Linked DNA regions of Sus scrofa. The protein of the gene in region 2 purifies or fractionates together with the protein of the main gene of each other region. This does not show direct contact. Links are inferred from orthologs where the notes say so. Each region holds a gene or a part of one and is shown on either strand. Other genes may lie near its edges.

Region 1 (4,292 bases), on a different chromosome or scaffold from region 2:
CTTACATTTAACAAAAAAAAAAAAAGGAAAATACTCACAGATGCTGTTGAACTACTAAATCCTTTTTAAGGATAAACAAGGTCCTATTGCATGGCACAGGGAATTATATAATCAGTATCCTATAGTACACCATAATGGAAAAGAATATGAAAAAGAATATATATGTATAACTGACACACTTTGCTGTATACTAGAAACTAACATTGTAAATCAGTAAAAAAAAAAAAATTTAATTCACTAATGAAATAATGGGAATGCCGAAAAAAAATTCCTTTTAAAAATTCCTAAATTACAGGAGTTCCCTCACTGTTCAGTGGGTTAAGGACCTAGCATTGTCACTGCTGTGGCTCTGGTTAAGCCTGTGGCACAGGTTTGATCCCTGGCCCAGGAACTTCTGCATGTCAAGAGTGTGGCCAAAAGAAAAACAAAAACAAAACCCCCAAAACTTCTTTTTTATTTTATTATTTATTTTATCACATCTGTAGTTGTATAATGATCATCACAATCCAATTTCACAGGATTTCCATCCCACAACCCCCAAACCTCTAAATTATAAATTTAGACTAAGTTTCTCTTTAAAAACAAAAACAAAAACAAAACAACTCTCAGGATTTTCAATGTGGGGGGTTCCTAATAGGCAGCAAGCCAGCCTCTCTCTCTTCTCCATCCTCCTCATTCACCAGTTACAGGCAGAACCTTAGACTTTTTAGTAGCTGTGGTAAAAGAAAAAAAAAAAAAAAATGGTGCAACCGTAAAGCAAAATAGGTAAAAATTAGATTTTTGAATCTCCTATGTTTCAATGACCTATTCCCTCTTTTCACAGATAATCTAGAATTGGTCCTATTATAATTATTGAGGTTCAGTGAAGTACTTGTCAGCAGAGAGAGAAATAACGAAAACCAACTGTCAGAACACATGAAAACAATAGGTTTTAAAGTATAATTGGGGAGTTCCCGTCGTGGCGCAGTGGTTAACGAATCCGACTAGGAACCATGAGGTTTCGGGTTCGGTCTCTGCCCTTGCTCAGTGGGTTAATGATCTGGCGTTGCCGTGAGCTGTGGTGTAGGTTGCAGACGCGGCTCGGATCCCGAGTTGCTGTGGCTCTGGTGTAGGCCGGTGGCTACAGCTCCGATTCGACCCCTAGCCTGGGAACCTCCATATGCCGTGGGAGCGGCCCAAAGAAATAGCAAAAAGACAAAAAAAAAAAAAAAAAAAAAGTATAATTGAAGTAGAGATATAAAGATTGATGCTATTTGTTTTGCCATAGGTAATTCATTGCCCTTCACTATCATCTCTACATTCTGGAGGAAAAGTGGAGATCCACTGTCTGACCTCCACCTTCTGTGGTCATTTGGGTCTAAATAACAAATGATGTTGAACTTCAGAGCTCCCATTGTCTTACAGGCTTCAGCCTAATGGATTTGCAAATCGTACTGTTTTTCATGATGTTTCACCCAAATTTTTCAACCAACATATACCGGCTAGTACCATACAAAATTTAGACTGATTCATAACCCTTAATGGGCGCATGTTTAAAAGCTTTACAAATGTGACAATTCCATTGTGGGGAAAAATCTTGGGTTTCTGAAAACCACTGGAATCTCTTCAAAGAAAAGATTTCCCAAGTGCTAAAACATAACGCTGACAGCATGGCTAAAGACGGGCCTCTGAGTTTACAGGCCTTTCACCATCCACCTGCATCAAGTCTATGTCTAGAAAAGCAATATAAAATCCCCACCAAAAAGCATGAACTTGTGTTATACCACAAACATCTATATTCTGAGTCTCAATACTGTGTTTTTATAATTTAGTATGCTGAACCGGAGCTAATGGAACAGTCTTAAAATTAATCATTTTAAATCCTATGTAATCAGAGCTACAAATAAGTAAATCGCTTCTCCCATCAAATGGTACATCAGAGACTTGCAGGAAAAGCAGAGACCTCTATTAAAAGTTCAAATAAACGTGGTGTGCTAGGTAACTTTCAAAAAGAGGAAGCGAATACTTTTGGCTTTGAGCACTACACCGAAACATCACTTTTAACAATCCCAGTCTGTATCTGCAACACGGATCTGAACTGCTTCCTACTCTAGACTCCTAATCCCTGAAGGAGACGATCTGATTCTGCACGGAAGCTGGGACGAGGCAACCCGAAAACAGACCACTCTTGCTCCATGGGTCCAGGCAGTAAACGGAGCAGACAGACAAGTTTCAAGAAGTTATCGAATAAGTCATACGATGGTTACCTGGGCATCACGGAGAAAGGAGAGCAAGAAAAAAAAGGAGGGCTTCCAACTTTTGGCCACCCTTGTTTTGTTTTTTGTTTTTTTTTTTTACTGACCGCACCCTTCTGCTTTCAGGAGCAGGTTGGGCCTTCAGCTTTTCAAAAGTCAAACAGGTGTTGGGAGAGAGAACATTTTTCTAGGTTTGTTTTCTAAGACACCACACCAGAGCTGCCAGAGAAGACCCTGGACGCGAGAGGGGCTGAACCTGGGTGGCAAAGGCGCAGCATCTCTGAAGTATGGGGCACAGGAGCGCCCACCCATCCCGGGCACCTGTGGACCGTTTCTTTTTTTTTTTTCTTTCCTTTTTTTTTTTTTTTAACTTTCTGCACGCGATGCCCCCCACCCTCCCCAGTGCCGGCTGCTAAGCCTGCTCGGAGAAGCAGGCGCCGGCCCCACCCTGCGAAGGGGAGACTCACCTGCGCGCATGGCGGGCGCAGGAAGGCAGGAAGGCAGGGAGAGGCCGGACGCGCTGCAAAGTGTCCAAGGAGCCACGAAGGTCCGGTCCTGGGGAGGCGCAGCGGACGCCAGCGGGGTAAGAGTCGGTGCCGCGCCGGCCGCCAGCAGCCTCGCCGCCACGCCCTCGACGCCGGCGGGAGCTGCCGCCTTGGCGGGGGCGCGAGCGGCGTCTAGGCAAGAAAAGCGGCCGGCGCCGCGCCCGCCCGGCTCCGCCCCGCCTCCGCCTCCGCCTCCGGCGAGCCCGCGCAGCGCAGGCGCCCGAGGTCGGCCGCCGGGGGGCGTGCGGGGGCCCAGACGCCGGCAGGAAGCGGCCCCGCCTCTCGCGTGCCGCCGTGGGGCTGGCGGGGGCGGGGGGGGCCGCGGGAGAAGGTCTAGCCGCGCTCGCGCGCGCGCGCGCACTTGGCACGCAGCCTGGGGTTTTCTCTTTACAGGCTTGTGAGGGGCTTGGGCGGTTGTCGTAGGGCGGATTCTTTAGGTGCCCCCGACGACGGGACCTTTGGGTATCTTCTTGTCTTGCGCCATGACTAGAAATAGCTTAGCTCCTTTTCCTGCCTGGCCCCATTGTGTCGTCGCAAGGAGTAGGAATATGAACGTTTACTGAGGGCCAGCTACTATGTACACTGCACCGCGTGCTTTGCAAGATTTACCTCGTTTAACCTCACAGCAACCAGCGAACCGAACGTCATTATCCTCCTTTTATAGATGAGCAGGGCGCCCAAATGCTTAATTGCCCGAGGAGAGGCAGCTAGTTAGGGGGCTGAGCTGTAGGTTGCATCGGAGTGGGTGCTATTCCTTATCCTGGGTCCTGAACCACTACCGGATTTTGCTGCCTCCACCCACCCCTCCTCTTCATCGTTTGTACAATGCTAATAATATTTACATTTCTAATGCTTATTTCCCGTTTGCAGAATAGTTTCAGGGCGGTCTTGCTTGCTTCTCTGAGAAGCCTTGGAAGACAGTAGGGCATAATTATGCCTATTTTACCAACAGAAAGACGAAGGGCCTAAGCTGTTCAATGAGTTGTCCAAAGTTACAGTAGTAGGACTGGGGCTTCCTTTTCTTTTTTAGAAAATTTATTATTATTTTTCTTACAAGGTACCTGAGCCAAGCTTGGAAGGGAGCCTGTGTCCCCTTAGTTCCCGGACAAGGAAACAGAGGCACAGAACAGGAAAGGAATTTGTCTTAAGGGTGTGCATTTAGAAGAAAATCAGCTCTGATCTCTCACACATAGCCCCCTCTGAGGCAAAGTGAAGCAAACTGAAGGTCAATGTCAGTGCTGTCAGGCACTCAGTACCTGGGATCTGGGTCAGGAAGAAGGGTTTAAGTCTGTAAAATACGTCTAATGTCTGTGAGGTTTAGACTAACGAAGCAGTTGCATTACGGTCACTCTTTAGCAGTTGACCTGGCACAGTCACAGAGACAGGTCCAGTGGATCACCCCTCTTGCTTCCTGTTTACTGCTTCTCTTGTTTCTGCTGTTTCCATCTCTGTTGCCCTTTGCTCCCCACCAAGGACTCCCTTTCACTCAAATGTTTACTAAGAGCTGCTTCTT
Region 2 (3,814 bases):
CCATCTGAACTATCACAGACTAAAGAACAGTTGTAATATTGAATGATTTGACTTGACATATTTTGACATGTGAATGCCAGGTTGTAAATTAGCAGCTGGCTATTTAAAATAAGGAAAGCGACATAGCTCTTGGTTTCCTCTAGTCCCCATTGTCTTAGCTATGGATGCCATTAGCTAAAAGGTTCTCATGCCACTTACAATGTTAAAAATAATAGAAACTCCACACTTCATACTCCCCGCCCCATTTAGTTTTTTAAGTGATCCTCTCGCTTCTCTAACTAGTTGACTTTTATTGTGGAAGTGAATAGGCCATAAGGTGGGACCTTGGGATATCTGTGCTGGCAGCAGTGCTGTTGGTTTACTCACTCTTTTTCTGTCTTCATTTTTGCATGCCACTGCTCCTGCCTCTTACAGCCACAGTAGAAGCGGTAGAGGCCCGGGAAGGTATGGCCATATTCCTCTGATAGATGTGATCATGTGTCTGTCTACTAGTTTTAAAAAGCTTTGTCAACAGTTGAAATCTTTTATTATTGCATCACCAGAACTGTAACAGTGAGGATAGGAATAGATATCTCCAGGCATGCTCACAAAGTGTTTCCTTCGTGTCGTGTATTTGTATTAATTTAAATGACCCTCTCCACAGCTAAAGGCCTTTCTGGGCCCTATCAGTTTTAATGCAAGGGCTGAAGCTTAAGCAGCTGGTCATGAGGGGTCAAGTGATATCATCTCATAGCCCTTCTGCATCCAAGAGGCATCCATTTGGTTATCAGAGATTCAAGCCATCCGCCTCTTTATCTAATGATTCCAAAGCATATCAAGAGTGGAGACAAAAGTAGATGGGAATTTGATTTGTTTCTGAAGTTTCCCTAAGTCAGTCAAACTAAATTATCTTTGTCTCTATGAAAGCAAATTTAAAGTAACAAATTGTCTATAAATCTGAGGATAAAAACCATTGGACTTCATAAACTGGTGTCATCAATTTAATTGTTCTGTGAGATAAGGTGGTTCACAATGCGAATGCCTTTCCTTGGTGATACAAAAAGTTCAGTCAGAAAGAAAATATCTAGAATTGATCTTTTAGATGGCTTTTAACTTATGTTCAGCTCCTGGTTGTGCAAGATAAAACACTGTCCTTCTAAGCAAACAGATTCGCTCTTTTGTTACTTTTTTGTGTGGTTGATGTGATGTTTGTGTTAGAGTAACTACTCTGCTTGACTTGTTCTACTGTTCTAGTGTTGCCTTTTTTCTCTCTCACTGAGCACGTTTCTGGCCCATAAGAGACGCTTTCAAATGTACTGGGGCTTTTTGTCAGGTTTACTTTTGCTGTGATTAATTGTATTGAGCTTCAGTGAAAATTACTTTGACAGTTTCAGTGGCCCTTTGGGCTTTAAGGAAGCAGTAGCTTCAGCCAAGGCTAATTGAAATCAAATATTGCCCATTCCTTCACCAGACATGTGCTCCACAGCCACCATTCTATGTTTTTCTCTAGGAGGTTCGTATGCTAAGAACTTAGAGTCCCTTTGCTGTCTAATTGAGCTCCTCCTTTTCCTGTTTTTCTGTAGCCATCAGAGGGTTTTCGCTTCAGCACAGGATCCGCAGTTTTGAAGAAGCCCGAGGTCTGGACCGAATTAATGAGCGGATGCCACCCCGCAAAGATAGCCAATACTTTGATGGGCCAGTGAAATTGGTAACCCCTGTCCAAGCAAACGCCGTGCACAGGAACGACAGGGGGAGAAGAGCCAGTAATGACTCGGAGCCCAGCAGTGGTACAGGAGGATCCAAAACTTAAGAACACATTTTACTTATTTATTATTGGGAAACAAAACAAAAACAACTTAAACCTGGAGGTGCATTTATCCTGTAAGAAAGGTGACCGTTTTGTAAATTCTTTTAATTTATGTTGAATATATATAAAAAGTGCATCTGTTTTGTTTTTCCCTTTTCCCCCTGATTTTTAGGAACTGATCCGATTGCCTGATACATATGTGAAGTCTTGTGCTATAAAGGGGACCGTCCCCTAATAAAAGGGCCTTGGAAACCTCCACCCTGGGTTTCTGACTTGAACAACTAGCCAGCCTTTTCTCTTGTTTTTGGATGCTAAAATCTTTCATTTCAGACTAAGCGCTTTTCAAACACAGAAGGGTTTTTTCTTTTTCCTTTCTATAGGGTACCACTGAAGAAGATCTCTTAAATTTCAGTGGCTAGAATTTCTCTTCTTACGGAAAACTTGATTATAGAACTTCTAAGTGAATAACCCAAATGCAGTGATTTTAAAGGGCCAAGGGAAATGTTTTCCATAATAACCCACTTTTCTCTGGACTCAGTTATTCTGACTGTATTCTAGTACACCAAAATAAAAAATAATGAGGGGTTTTCCTAGAATTACTTAAAATTTGTTCATCTAACCATGAGCATGATTGATTGAAACTTCCCTTAGAACTTTGGAGGTTTCTTAAATGTTGCCACATCCTTTTGCTTTTATTTTTGAACCCTGGGTGACTTAGTCCATCTGCAAAGGAAGCAACAGTTCTAAATATTTTATAAATGCCCTGTGTAGAACCTTGAACGGTCAGACCGTTCTGTGTGTATACCCTTCTGTGTTACTGCACCAGCTCCCACATCTATTCTCCTCAGCATCCATCTGTTTTTCTGTGTCAGCATTTTTGAAACCAACTAGGGTAATGGAAACTGACTAGGTTAGAATGGTCCCCTTGCCAACTGGAAGTCTTGCTGAAGGGCATTGGATGAGTGAGGATTTCCTGTCCATTAATTACTGGGATGTTTCTCCATTTCTCAACACTCATTAGGTTGAATTGTGTGTCAGTCTCTGGCAGCCTGTTTTGGAATATGGAAACAATTGTTCAGATACAATATTTGAATAATCTTCCTTTAGTTTTTCAAATCACAATCAACCCCATCGTGGCTCAGTGGTTAACAAACCCGACTAGTATCCATGAGGACTTGGGTTTGATCCCTGGCCTGCTCAGTGGATTAAGGATCTGGCGTTCCTGTGATCTGTGGTGTAGGTCGAAGACACAGCTTGGATCCGGAGTTGCTATGGCTGTGGCATAGGCTGGCACCTGTAGCTCCAAGTCAGCCCCTGGGCTGGGAACTTCCATATGCCATGAGTGTGGCCCTAAAAATACAAGACAAAAAAAAGTGAAGGAAATTTCAGGGATCCTTAGGCTCCCATTTGTGGTTTAGCCTGGTGACAAGTGCCATGTCATAATACTCATTGGTCAGCTTTACATTGAGTGTACATGTCTGGGCGACACCACATCAAAGTGCATACTGTGGGATTAATGTCATTTGGCACAGGTGTCCGGCATTGAGGCAAGTATCTCAGAAAGTAGTAATTTATGTTTGGAGCTTCATGGACACCATTTTCAAAACCGTAATTTCATGAGAAGAATGATTTAGCCCATCTATCTCTGTTTCCTTCTGCCTTGCTAACAATTCCTGATTTGTTTATGACTGAGATCAAAGCATGTGGGGATTAGAATCTGGTGGCATAGTTTGTTCTGTTAATCAAAAAGGTAGGATATTGGGAAGGAGATGGAAGATCTCTTAGCAGTGTGTGAGTAAAACGTTTGAAAGAAAGGAGAAAAAGTCTCAAGCAGTTGTCTTTACTGACCATCATTTCTTTATAACCAAAGAGGAATTCATCACTTGCATATCCTCATACCCCTCCCTCCCCCAAGCCCAGTACAGAAACGGCTGCTGCTTTGGAAATCTCACTAATGTGCAGGTCAGTTCACGGGACAGGTTTGACGGACAGGACTCCCTGATCCCTTTCTCTTTCCATTGAGGCTAC

The links.
Region 1: the proteins of PPP3CC (region 2) and RCAN3 purify together in Homo sapiens (affinity purification with mass spectrometry; 3 studies listed by BioGRID and IntAct, counting the BioPlex papers as one, with this or other methods). This does not show direct contact. The link is inferred for Sus scrofa from reciprocal best matches to the Homo sapiens genes PPP3CC and RCAN3.

The regions. Positions count from the first base shown.
Region 1 is NC_010448.4:82,184,989-82,189,280, reverse strand, and holds the start of RCAN3 (calcipressin-3), read right to left. Parts: upstream 2,814-4,292; 5' UTR 2,702-2,813; intron 1-2,701.
Region 2 is NC_010456.5:6,791,579-6,795,392, forward strand, and holds part of PPP3CC (serine/threonine-protein phosphatase 2B catalytic subunit gamma isoform), read left to right. Parts: intron 1-414; coding exon 415-444; intron 445-1,562; coding exon 1,563-1,789; 3' UTR 1,790-3,814. UniProt on the Homo sapiens protein: Calcium-dependent, calmodulin-stimulated protein phosphatase which plays an essential role in the transduction of intracellular Ca(2+)-mediated signals. Dephosphorylates and activates transcription factor NFATC1.